3 linked regions of the Saccharomyces cerevisiae S288C genome follow. The gene in region 2 interacts genetically with the main gene of each other region. Each region holds a gene or a part of one and is shown on either strand. Other genes may lie near its edges.

Region 1 (3,756 bases), 350 kb from region 2:
GTTCAGCAACTATACATTTGGCACTATGGAAGAAGACATTTTTTATAGGAACCAGGTTGTTTTTTAAAGGAGAGTTTGCTCTCTTCTGCATTTCCACATACACATTTGATGTTAATTTACATACGAGTATACTCTCGTACACAACATATATATATATATATATGTAATATATTCATAGCACTTACTTATTAATGAAGGCCATAAGCCAAACAACATCTCACCATTTTTCTTCAGGGTTTTCTTTAAACCTTAGGTAATCCTCTTTGTTGAAAAGCGAAATTTCGGTTTCATTCTCAATGCCATACTCGAACAGCTTTTTTTTGTCATTCTCTATGTCTAAAGTCCAGTCGTCATCGTGGTCAAAATTGATCACGAGATTAACCGTCTTGGAACCATGTGCGTGCGTGTATATCTTTAAAGTATCAAACTTAACATTACGGAATGGTCTGAATGAACCTTCATTTTGAATTTTGTTCAAAACGTCATTGAACAGGTCCTTTGCAGTTTTATCAGCAAGATCGTAATCGTGCAGCACTATGTTCTTGACGTTTCTATATGGGAAAGATTTTATTACTCGGATTGTAATAACGGAGTTCTTTAGTGGTCTGGCATTTGAGGTTAATGGCTCTTCCAAGTCATAATCATGAAAGGTTGTTGACATTTTCAGCCTTTTAGTTGAATTCATGAAATAATGCAACCAAACAAGAAAAAATTTGGGGGAGGTAGTCTACGCATTTCAGTTCTAACTTCCTTCCTTTTCTTTCACTATTAATTGAAACTTATTTTCATTTTTTTTCTTTAGCATTGAACGCCGAATCTAAAAAAGTAAAGAACTCCTCATAGGGGGCTCGAACCCCTGACATTTCGGTATCCTTGCTTAAGCAAATGCGCTTAAAAGCCGAACGCTCTACCAACTGAGCTAACAAGGATGAGTTCTTCGGAGGGCTAACTCATATAAATAACTAATAAAGGCGAAATAGTGGTCACCACCATCACACTACACCCATATCAACGACAAGAGTTTAATTTGACCGTGGAAATTTATTACTGCTGATTTGGGTTCTATGATAAATCCTCGTAACGTAGAGACTATGTTTTTATATGCGCATTAAGTGCCGGAAAACGTGAGAAATAGGCTTTCCGGAGCATCAAACCTGAGGTTTCATAAATTGTGTTCGTGAAGGATGCATTCCAGAGGGCCATCCATCCAGCATAAAAAGAGATCTACAAAGCAATTATGTGGTTTCGCCATTATCCGTAGGATGACCTAAAAAATGGTAATGATTCACGTGATCTAGAAACTTTAACGTGTTATATCATTCAAGGCGTAACTTATACGCGCGGGGTACCCTATCATATCTAACACACGTACCCTGGGTTAATGCCATGATCGTCTTTGATGTATCTCTAATGATCATTATTATTTTTTCTTTTGCTTTTAACATGAGTCAAAGCAATATTCTTATGTTATATAACTCACCCCATGTGCTCGTGGGCAGTGACGCACGCAACTTTTTCTCTTGCAAAAAATGGCATCGATGCTTTTCTGGGGAGGTGATATTAGAGGAGAAGAAGTCACAGAGTGCTCTTGGATCACGATCCCTCACTTGTACTTGTCCACTTATCAGCGCCGTCCAGTTACATTTGGAGAGATCTTTTTTTAGCCTGGCCTTCTTTGCTGTCATACTACTTTATATTCCGGGATAAAATATAAAGAAATATTAGTTAGGAAAAAATTAATAGGGAAGAAAGATCTAGAAGCAAACAGCAATGACTGCCGTCGCCTCTACTAGCGGGAAGCAAGATGCTGACCATAACCAGTCTATAGAGTGTCCAAGGTTTTCGCGTGGACAGAAAGAGATTTTGTTGGACCATGAGGATGCGAAGGGGAAGGATTCAATAATCAACTCCCCCGTGTCAGGGAGGCAATCAATAAGCCCTACTTTGTCGAATGCTACTACCACGACTACGAAATCTATTATGAATGCCACCGGCACCTCCGGCGCAGTAGTAAGTAATACTCCGGAGCCTGGTTTGAAGAGAGTCCCCGCCGTCACTTTCAGTGATCTAAAGCAACAGCAAAAGCAGGATAGTCTGACTCAGCTGAAGAACGACTCAGAAAGGACCAAGTCTCCAAATAGTAATCCTGCTCCTGTCTCAAATTCCATTCCTGGCAATCATGCAGTTATACCGAACCACACCAACACTTCAAGAACAACGCAATTATCTGGGTCTCCACTCGTCAACGAAATGAAAGATTATGATCCTAAGAAAAAAGACAGTGCTCTTAAAATAGTTGATACCATGAAGCCTGACAAAATCATGGCCACTTCAACGCCAATAAGTAGAGAAAATAATAAGGTAACCGCCAAAGCCCCCACCAGTATTACACTTCGAAAGGAAGATGCACAAGATCAAGCTAACAATGTTTCAGGCCAAATTAATGTGCGTTCTACCCCGGAAGAAACGCCAGTGAAGCAGTCCGTCATTCCTTCCATCATCCCCAAAAGAGAGAACTCCAAGAATTTGGATCCCAGACTACCTCAAGATGATGGAAAATTGCACGTGTTGTTTGGCGCTACAGGTTCGTTATCGGTATTTAAGATCAAGCCAATGATTAAAAAACTAGAAGAAATATATGGACGTGATAGAATAAGCATTCAAGTTATCCTCACTCAATCAGCAACACAGTTTTTCGAACAAAGATATACCAAGAAAATTATCAAATCTTCAGAAAAACTAAATAAAATGTCGCAGTACGAATCCACTCCGGCAACTCCAGTGACACCAACACCAGGACAATGCAACATGGCTCAAGTAGTCGAGTTACCCCCACATATTCAACTATGGACCGACCAAGATGAATGGGACGCATGGAAACAACGAACTGATCCTGTACTTCATATAGAACTACGTCGCTGGGCGGATATACTGGTAGTAGCTCCATTAACTGCAAACACATTATCAAAAATTGCTTTGGGCCTGTGCGACAATCTTCTGACAAGTGTCATTAGAGCTTGGAATCCGAGTTATCCCATTCTTTTGGCACCTTCTATGGTGAGTAGCACTTTTAATTCTATGATGACAAAGAAGCAACTACAAACGATAAAGGAGGAAATGTCCTGGGTCACTGTTTTCAAGCCGTCTGAGAAAGTTATGGATATAAATGGTGATATTGGTCTCGGGGGTATGATGGACTGGAATGAGATTGTTAACAAAATCGTTATGAAATTGGGTGGGTACCCAAAAAATAACGAGGAAGAGGACGATGATGAGGATGAGGAAGAAGACGACGACGAAGAAGAAGATACAGAAGATAAGAACGAAAACAACAACGATGATGATGACGATGACGACGATGACGACGACGACGACGACGACGACGACGACGACGACGACGATGATGACGAGGACGAGGACGAAGCAGAAACCCCAGGTATAATAGATAAGCATCAATAAATAGTCTATGAATTACAAATACACTAAACACATTCTACTTATTTGTGTTTTGTAATTTCTGGAAAAATACTCATTAGGCAAATTCACGCAGCATATTTACAAAATGTCACAAATTTTTTTCCTTTTTTACTTGCAGTAGGTATGTAATGCCATACTAGCGTACATAGAGCTCTTCATATAAACCGCTATTTATTACTAATTTTAATAATTCAGTAATTCATTAAATACATTCATTACTTTCTGGGTAAATATCTATTCGTTTCTCATTTTTCTTTTTTTGACATATCCCGGTACCGG
Region 2 (3,756 bases):
CTGATGTTTGGCGTAGTCGATAGAGTTACTTCTCAAGTTCGTGCCAGAAAGCTCACCATCGTTGTTATTGTTGTTATTGGAAGATGAAGAAGGTTGTAAATCATTATACTCGCCCATTTTTTTCTTTTTCAAAACAAATCTTGCTTTATACGTCGTTATACGTCTGGCTATTTGGGAAAGTAACCTTTTTTCGAAATCTTCGGCGGTTAATCCATATCTTTGCATTAAAATGTCTAAAAGACCGGACTCCTCCACGTAATGAGAAACTTTAAATTTACTCACTGTATGGTTAGAATTATTGTAAGAGCTTTCTAGTATTTGATCAAACTTTAAATCGTTTTGTAAAATCTTTGGAATCTTAGTTAGGATAAATTTACCCAGTGACAAGTTATCTTCTAGTGGGTGACTATGATAGGGCTCAATTTTGGTAACGACAAATGGGCCCGGTATATCATCGGTAGCAGAATTGAAGACGTCTAAATTCATAGACGTGTCTCGTATGGAGGATGGTGAGTGGGAGGAAATGCCGTGGCTACCGACATTGTTGTTATTGATATTGCTGTTATTGTTGTGATCGTTATTAGTATTATTATCTTGGCCATCATTGTTGTTAGTGGCATCATCGTCTTTTCCATCGTGCTTATTGTTTGATTGAGAATCTACATTTGCGACGGCATTGGCAATGGCAACGTTGATGTCTTCATCGTTCACTACGTCAGAATAGTTTTTCGTCATTTGGGTATGGACGTCATCCTCCTCGTTGTGACGGTGGTTACCGCTGTCATTACCATGAGTAGGACCGCTCTCGTCGTCCAATCCCCGGTCAATAGAGGCCTTATTTATCGAATCATCTTCAGTGTCGTTCTTGATAGTAACACCTTGCTGTTTAAAAATGTTGTTGGCATCAGCATCATCGTCATTGTTCCCATTCACCTCATTGCTTCTCGACTCCACTTTGTCATTGGTGTCGTCCGGATGAGTGTTCGCCAGATGGTATTCAAGATCATCAGTAACGAAGTCAAGTTTACTGTCATTGCTAACCTTATTATTACTGCCATTGTTATTATCATTGTCCTCGTTGTTCATGTTGTTGCTATGATGATGAATATGATCAGGAGTACCCGGAGGGTTGGTATTATTATTTGCAGAAGGAGATGAGGTTTCTGAGGATGCAGCATTGCCAGCATAGCTTAGCAAGACTTTAAATGGACAGTTTTTCAAATGACAGGCAAATGTAAAATGTTTGTTCCTATGCGAATTCTTTAAAATAATAGGGCAACGCGTCTGAAATTCGTACTCATTAATTACATCATACCAAGCACCCAAGGTGGGAAATTTTTTGCCTCCATGGGCTCCAATGGCCAGGTCTTTATTAATTATAGGGTGCTTGTATTCATAATAATTCACGACTAATTTGTCCATCCTTGTGAAATTGCAAATATGGTGATTTGAAACGTTTCCTAGTGCAGCAGGATCACAGATAACGTGTAAAGGGCTTAGCAGTTGATAATCCTCTCTAGTTGAGATCTAAACAAAATGCTGTCACTAACCGTAGTATTAAATGACACACTTTGGTGACTTTCGTTAATGGGGATGTGGTAGTGGCCATTGCCAATAAACAAAAAGAACAGGGAAAGAAGTAGAAAGTGATATAAGTTTGCTTGCCACTTTTCGTTTTTCACGAAAAAAACAGGCGAAAAAAAATGCTAGACTAGTACCCGGCTGAATCACACCTCGTTAACAGTGACTTTCGGTGACAGATACCCGATTGGGCACCCGGCTGGTAAGTTATGATAGAAAGCCAACGCTGTACTATTGGCTTAGCTATGGCAATATTTTGATTATCAACTAGTTTTATTAACGTTATAATTAGTGTAACCAGTTTTTCATCTATTTCATTTATTTCATTTATTTACTTTAATTGCAGATCCCCCTAACGCGTTTAAAGCTTTTATTCACTAGCTTATGTATTTTTTATAGGAAACGCGACGCGTAACATCGCGCAAATGAAGGTTTTGATGTATTATAATGAGGTATTCTTCCTTATATACATCGATGAAAAGCGTTGACAGCATACATTGGAAAGAAATAGGAAACGGACACCGGAAGAAAAAATATGGGTATTAAAGGTTTGAATGCAATTATATCGGAACATGTTCCCTCTGCTATCAGGAAAAGCGATATCAAGAGCTTTTTTGGCAGAAAGGTTGCCATCGATGCCTCTATGTCTCTATATCAGTTTTTAATTGCTGTAAGACAGCAAGACGGTGGGCAGTTGACCAATGAAGCCGGTGAAACAACGTCACACTTGATGGGTATGTTTTATAGGACACTGAGAATGATTGATAACGGTATCAAGCCTTGTTATGTCTTCGACGGCAAACCTCCAGATTTGAAATCTCATGAGTTGACAAAGCGGTCTTCAAGAAGGGTGGAAACAGAAAAAAAACTGGCAGAGGCAACAACAGAATTGGAAAAGATGAAGCAAGAAAGAAGATTGGTGAAGGTCTCAAAAGAGCATAATGAAGAAGCCCAAAAATTACTAGGACTAATGGGAATCCCATATATAATAGCGCCAACGGAAGCTGAGGCTCAATGTGCTGAGTTGGCAAAGAAGGGAAAGGTGTATGCCGCAGCAAGTGAAGATATGGACACACTCTGTTATAGAACACCCTTCTTGTTGAGACATTTGACTTTTTCAGAGGCCAAGAAGGAACCGATTCACGAAATAGATACTGAATTAGTTTTGAGAGGACTCGACTTGACAATAGAGCAGTTTGTTGATCTTTGCATAATGCTTGGTTGTGACTACTGTGAAAGCATCAGAGGTGTTGGTCCAGTGACAGCCTTAAAATTGATAAAAACGCATGGATCCATCGAAAAAATCGTGGAGTTTATTGAATCTGGGGAGTCAAACAACACTAAATGGAAAATCCCAGAAGACTGGCCTTACAAACAAGCAAGAATGCTGTTTCTTGACCCTGAAGTTATAGATGGTAACGAAATAAACTTGAAATGGTCGCCACCAAAGGAGAAGGAACTTATCGAGTATTTATGTGATGATAAGAAATTCAGTGAAGAAAGAGTTAAATCTGGTATATCAAGATTGAAAAAAGGCTTGAAATCTGGCATTCAGGGTAGGTTAGATGGGTTCTTCCAAGTGGTGCCTAAGACAAAGGAACAGCTGGCTGCTGCGGCGAAAAGAGCACAAGAAAATAAAAAATTGAACAAAAATAAGAATAAAGTCACAAAGGGAAGAAGATGAGGGGGTTCTTTTTCCACTTTCTTCTTTTGGTCCTTCACCTTGGCATATATGTAACATAGATATTTGTATACACGAACTTTTTTCATCTAATACTTCTCTTTTTTTGCCAGTTTTTCTGGGAACTTGAACGTGGAATTTTTCATTCTTACCTGGTTTCTTTTTCTTCATTTCTTTACATGTTGGAAATCATTGTAAATATAAGATGACAAACTCCGAATAAGAAACACAAAACGCAACATTAATAAGCTTTTGGCATATCGGAACCATCGTAATGCCTTCGACACCTAGCTTTGTTAGATCTGCTGTCTCGAAATACAAATTTGGTGCGCACATGTCAGGTGCCGGTGGAATTTCTAATAGTGTAACTAATGCATTTAACACTGGCTGTAATTCGTTTGCCATGTTTTTAAAATCTCCAAGAAAGTGGGTTTCTCCGCAGTATACACAGGAGGAAATAGATAAATTTAAGAAAAACTGTGCAACTTACAATT
Region 3 (3,756 bases), on a different chromosome or scaffold from region 2:
AGCTCAGTTTTCTCTTACGCAGCAATTTTCTTTGTAAGGAGGAGGATAGCACTGGCGGAGAGGGTGGGTCCGTAGTCGTTGTTGTTGTAGCCGTTGCTGAGAGAGACGGTGATGGGACGTAAGAAGCTTCGTCATCAGATTTGGAAGATTCCTCTTCTTGCTCCTTTTGATATCTTAATTGAATTTCACGTTGCTTCAAATATTCATTCAAATCATCCGGAGTTTCATTAACCATGTCAATCAGTTTTTTGAAGTCTTCTTTATTTTGGTATAGTTTTTCTAAATGAGGAGTGTTCTTGACAGTCTTTGGAGCCCGCGTATGGTTCTCGGAGTGGTTGATTGGTGATTGTGGTTTTGGGATTGCAATGTCAGAGGGTAGGTAGTCTTTGTTTGGGTCCAAATTTAGTTTCTTGAACTTAGATAAAATTTCCGGATCCTGCTTATCATTAGGAAGTAGTTTTTGGTTGTTTAAAACTGCCAATGGTTGGCTTGAATATAGTTTAGAATGTTTTAGTCGAGTATGGTTCACGATACCTTGCGCGGAAGTGAAACCGGAACGGTCACATTTGGAGCACGTAATTATAACCAAAATGCCGTCATATCTTCTAAAAATGGGCTCATTATTTTCAGTCTTACCGATGATACCGCTATTGCTCGTCAAACAAGTGCTACTGTAATTACGTCTGTGGTTAAGATGCATCTGACTTGGTTTAAAAGGGAGTATCTGGAACCCCGGCTGCTCGTCTAAGGGGGAGATTGAGGAGGAACGAGGTGAAGAAATGCCATCCGAATTAGAGTGAGGAAGCGAGACGGGAGTGGGCTTGGTTATGGCTTCTGATAGAGATTTAGAACCTGTTAGCCTGTAATCAATTATATTCGAATTTGCCGGACGGAGGGCAGAAGGTTCTAGCAAAAGCCCGTTACTCTTGCTTCTAGTATGATAATGGTGGTGTGGTATGCGTGTTGTTGACAGATTTCTGTTGCTGCTCGAAGACAAAGGCTGACAGTTGATGTTATAATCCGATAGAACCGGGTATGACAGGTTATAATTTGATGCGTTCGTATTTTCCGTAGCCGTACTGTCGTGAAAGTGGCCGCCGAGCACGCTATGCTGCTGATGTTGTTTTATTTTGAGTTGATACGTCCGTTCGATTTTGTTCAATAGACCAGTATCCTTATGCAGGGTTTCCAAGAGAGCTAGTTTTGCGTTAACCTTTTGAACATTTCTTCGTAAGTGCCTAACATGCTTGTGGTTTAGCATTATATGTAGGTTCAAAACATTCTGTATTTCCCCTTTGGCACATTCGTACTTCAACCGCTGGGTATTTTCGCTATCCTTGTCCGGATTACTGGTGGCGGTGTCCATTTTGAAGGGCTCATCCATGTTGTTTTCCAAATCCTGAGGAGACTTTGGCGTGGTAACCTGATAAACGTTCGTCATCTTAGAGGATGACGATGAGGAAGAATTAGGATTATGATGCTGGTGCTGCAGTTTATCTTGGGCGGGACTCATCATGAGGAGATGGACATATACACAAAGTGTTGGATGAGAAGCGTGAGCCCGAAGAGTAGTGAAATGCCGAAGATCAGGGTGTTTATATGAACGAACACTAGCTTACAAATGTGGAAACGGGATCCTTCAGAGGTAAAATGCGCCTTCAGTGGCCAAAGTTCATCACCTTCCTTAGCACGGGTTCTTGCTGTCTGCTCTTCCTGCTTCTTCCCTGTTCGTTTTTCCCTCTTCCTACGGCTATGCACAGTGGCAAATGCACTGCATGTGTTTCTGTGGCGGGTATCCCTCAATTGCGGGTAACAATAAGTAACTCAACATCACGAACGACGTTTATGTTTGCTGTTACCACAAAGGGTAAAACGTCAATAAAAGCAAGCAATGTTATTCGTGCCAGAGAACTATATCTGGCGTACGTCTTATATATAACACAAGCAAGGGCAAATACGTGGTTAGTGGTGTAAAAACTGAAGGGATTAATTTACATACAACTAGATCCATCTTTCTCAAAAATGACTTCAGTATCGCCCTCGCCACCTGCCAGTCGATCGGGCTCAATGTGCTCCGACTTACCGTCCTCTTTGCAGACTGAGAAACTGGCACATATTATAGGTCTTGATGCCGACGATGAAGTTCTCCGGCGCGTAACCAAGCAGTTGAGCAGATCTAGGAGAATTGCTTGTCTGACTGGGGCAGGCATTTCGTGCAACGCGGGCATTCCTGACTTTCGCTCTTCTGATGGGCTCTACGACCTAGTGAAAAAGGATTGTTCACAGTATTGGTCTATCAAGTCCGGCAGGGAAATGTTTGATATTTCGCTATTTAGAGATGACTTCAAAATATCCATTTTTGCTAAATTTATGGAGAGGCTCTATTCAAATGTTCAATTGGCAAAGCCGACTAAGACGCACAAGTTCATTGCGCATCTAAAAGATAGGAACAAACTGCTGCGCTGTTACACGCAAAACATCGATGGGCTCGAAGAAAGCATAGGACTTACTTTATCAAATAGGAAATTACCGCTTACCTCATTTAGTTCACATTGGAAAAATCTGGATGTCGTTCAGTTGCACGGCGACCTGAAAACTCTTTCGTGTACAAAGTGCTTCCAGACTTTTCCCTGGAGCAGGTACTGGTCTCGTTGTCTAAGAAGAGGTGAGTTACCATTGTGTCCGGATTGCGAAGCACTTATCAACAAGAGATTGAATGAAGGAAAGCGAACTCTTGGTTCTAATGTGGGTATTCTAAGACCTAATATCGTCCTGTATGGTGAAAACCATCCATCCTGTGAAATTATTACGCAAGGCCTAAATCTTGACATAATTAAAGGCAATCCTGATTTTTTGATCATCATGGGTACAAGTTTGAAAGTTGATGGTGTGAAACAACTGGTAAAAAAATTAAGTAAGAAAATTCACGATCGTGGCGGCCTGATCATTCTCGTAAACAAGACACCCATTGGCGAATCCTCTTGGCACGGCATTATAGACTACCAAATCCACTCAGATTGTGATAATTGGGTCACATTTCTTGAATCCCAAATACCAGATTTCTTCAAGACGCAAGATCAAATTAAGAAGTTAAGACAGTTAAAAAGGGAGGCGAGCGACTTGAGAAAGCAAATGAAGGCCCAAAAAGACTCAATCGGAACCCCCCCAACAACCCCTCTACGAACTGCCCAGGGGATTGATATTCAAGGAAACAACGAATTGAATACAAAAATAAAGTCGTTAAACACAGTTAAGAGAAAAATACTGTCACCAGAAAACTCCAGTGAGGAAGACGAAGAGGAAAACTTGGATACAAGAAAACGCGCTAAGATACGACCAACTTTCGGTGACAACCAAGCCTCATAAACTTAACTATTAAAATTGAGTTAACGATAAATAATCGAGGCAGACACCCCTTTGCATAATATATCATCCGTTTAATTTATCTTCCATTTATATACTCATACATATACCAACGGAGATCTGCATGTCCGAGAATACAAAAAATAGTGAACGAAAAAAATATCACATCGCGAAAGAAAAGCTATCTGATATCTGCAACACGAAAACACAACAGTCGCGGCATGCAGATAGTACAAATTGAGCAGGCCCCAAAAGACTACATAAGCGACATCAAAATAATCCCTTCCAAGTCACTGCTTTTGATTACGTCTTGGGATGGCTCTTTAACAGTCTACAAATTCGACATTCAAGCAAAGAATGTTGACCTTTTACAATCGCTACGATATAAACATC

What was found.
Region 1: mutations in RAD27 (region 2) and SIS2 are lethal when combined (synthetic lethality), as found in Saccharomyces cerevisiae (6 studies listed by BioGRID, with this or other methods).
Region 3: mutations in RAD27 (region 2) and HST3 together harm fitness more than expected from each alone (negative genetic interaction), as found in Saccharomyces cerevisiae (6 studies listed by BioGRID, with this or other methods).

Annotation. Positions count from the first base shown.
Region 1 is NC_001143.9:576,138-579,893, reverse strand, and holds SIS2 (phosphopantothenoylcysteine decarboxylase complex subunit SIS2), read left to right. Parts: upstream 1-1,770; coding exon 1,771-3,459; downstream 3,460-3,756. Other genes in the region: YKR075C (uncharacterized protein), read left to right, coding at 1-67; AIM29 (Aim29p), read right to left, coding at 218-685; YKR073C (uncharacterized protein), read left to right, coding at 1,387-1,707. UniProt on the Saccharomyces cerevisiae protein: Component of the phosphopantothenoylcysteine decarboxylase (PPCDC) involved in the coenzyme A synthesis. Acts as an inhibitory subunit of protein phosphatase PPZ1, which is involved in many cellular processes such as G1-S transition or salt tolerance.
Region 2 is NC_001143.9:224,236-227,991, reverse strand, and holds RAD27 (multifunctional nuclease RAD27), read left to right. Parts: upstream 1-2,116; coding exon 2,117-3,265; downstream 3,266-3,756. Other genes in the region: DNA-binding protein ABF1, read right to left, coding at 1-1,422; DNA-(apurinic or apyrimidinic site) lyase APN1, read left to right, coding at 3,537-3,756. UniProt on the Saccharomyces cerevisiae protein: Structure-specific nuclease with 5'-flap endonuclease and 5'-3' exonuclease activities involved in DNA replication and repair.
Region 3 is NC_001147.6:376,197-379,952, forward strand, and holds HST3 (NAD-dependent histone deacetylase HST3), read left to right. Parts: upstream 1-2,022; coding exon 2,023-3,366; downstream 3,367-3,756. Other genes in the region: AHC1 (Ahc1p), read right to left, coding at 1-1,516; BUB3 (Bub3p), read left to right, coding at 3,585-3,756. UniProt on the Saccharomyces cerevisiae protein: NAD-dependent histone deacetylase, which contributes together with HST4 to histone H3 'Lys-56' deacetylation, regulation of telomeric silencing, proper cell cycle progression, DNA damage control, DNA recombination, and genomic maintenance.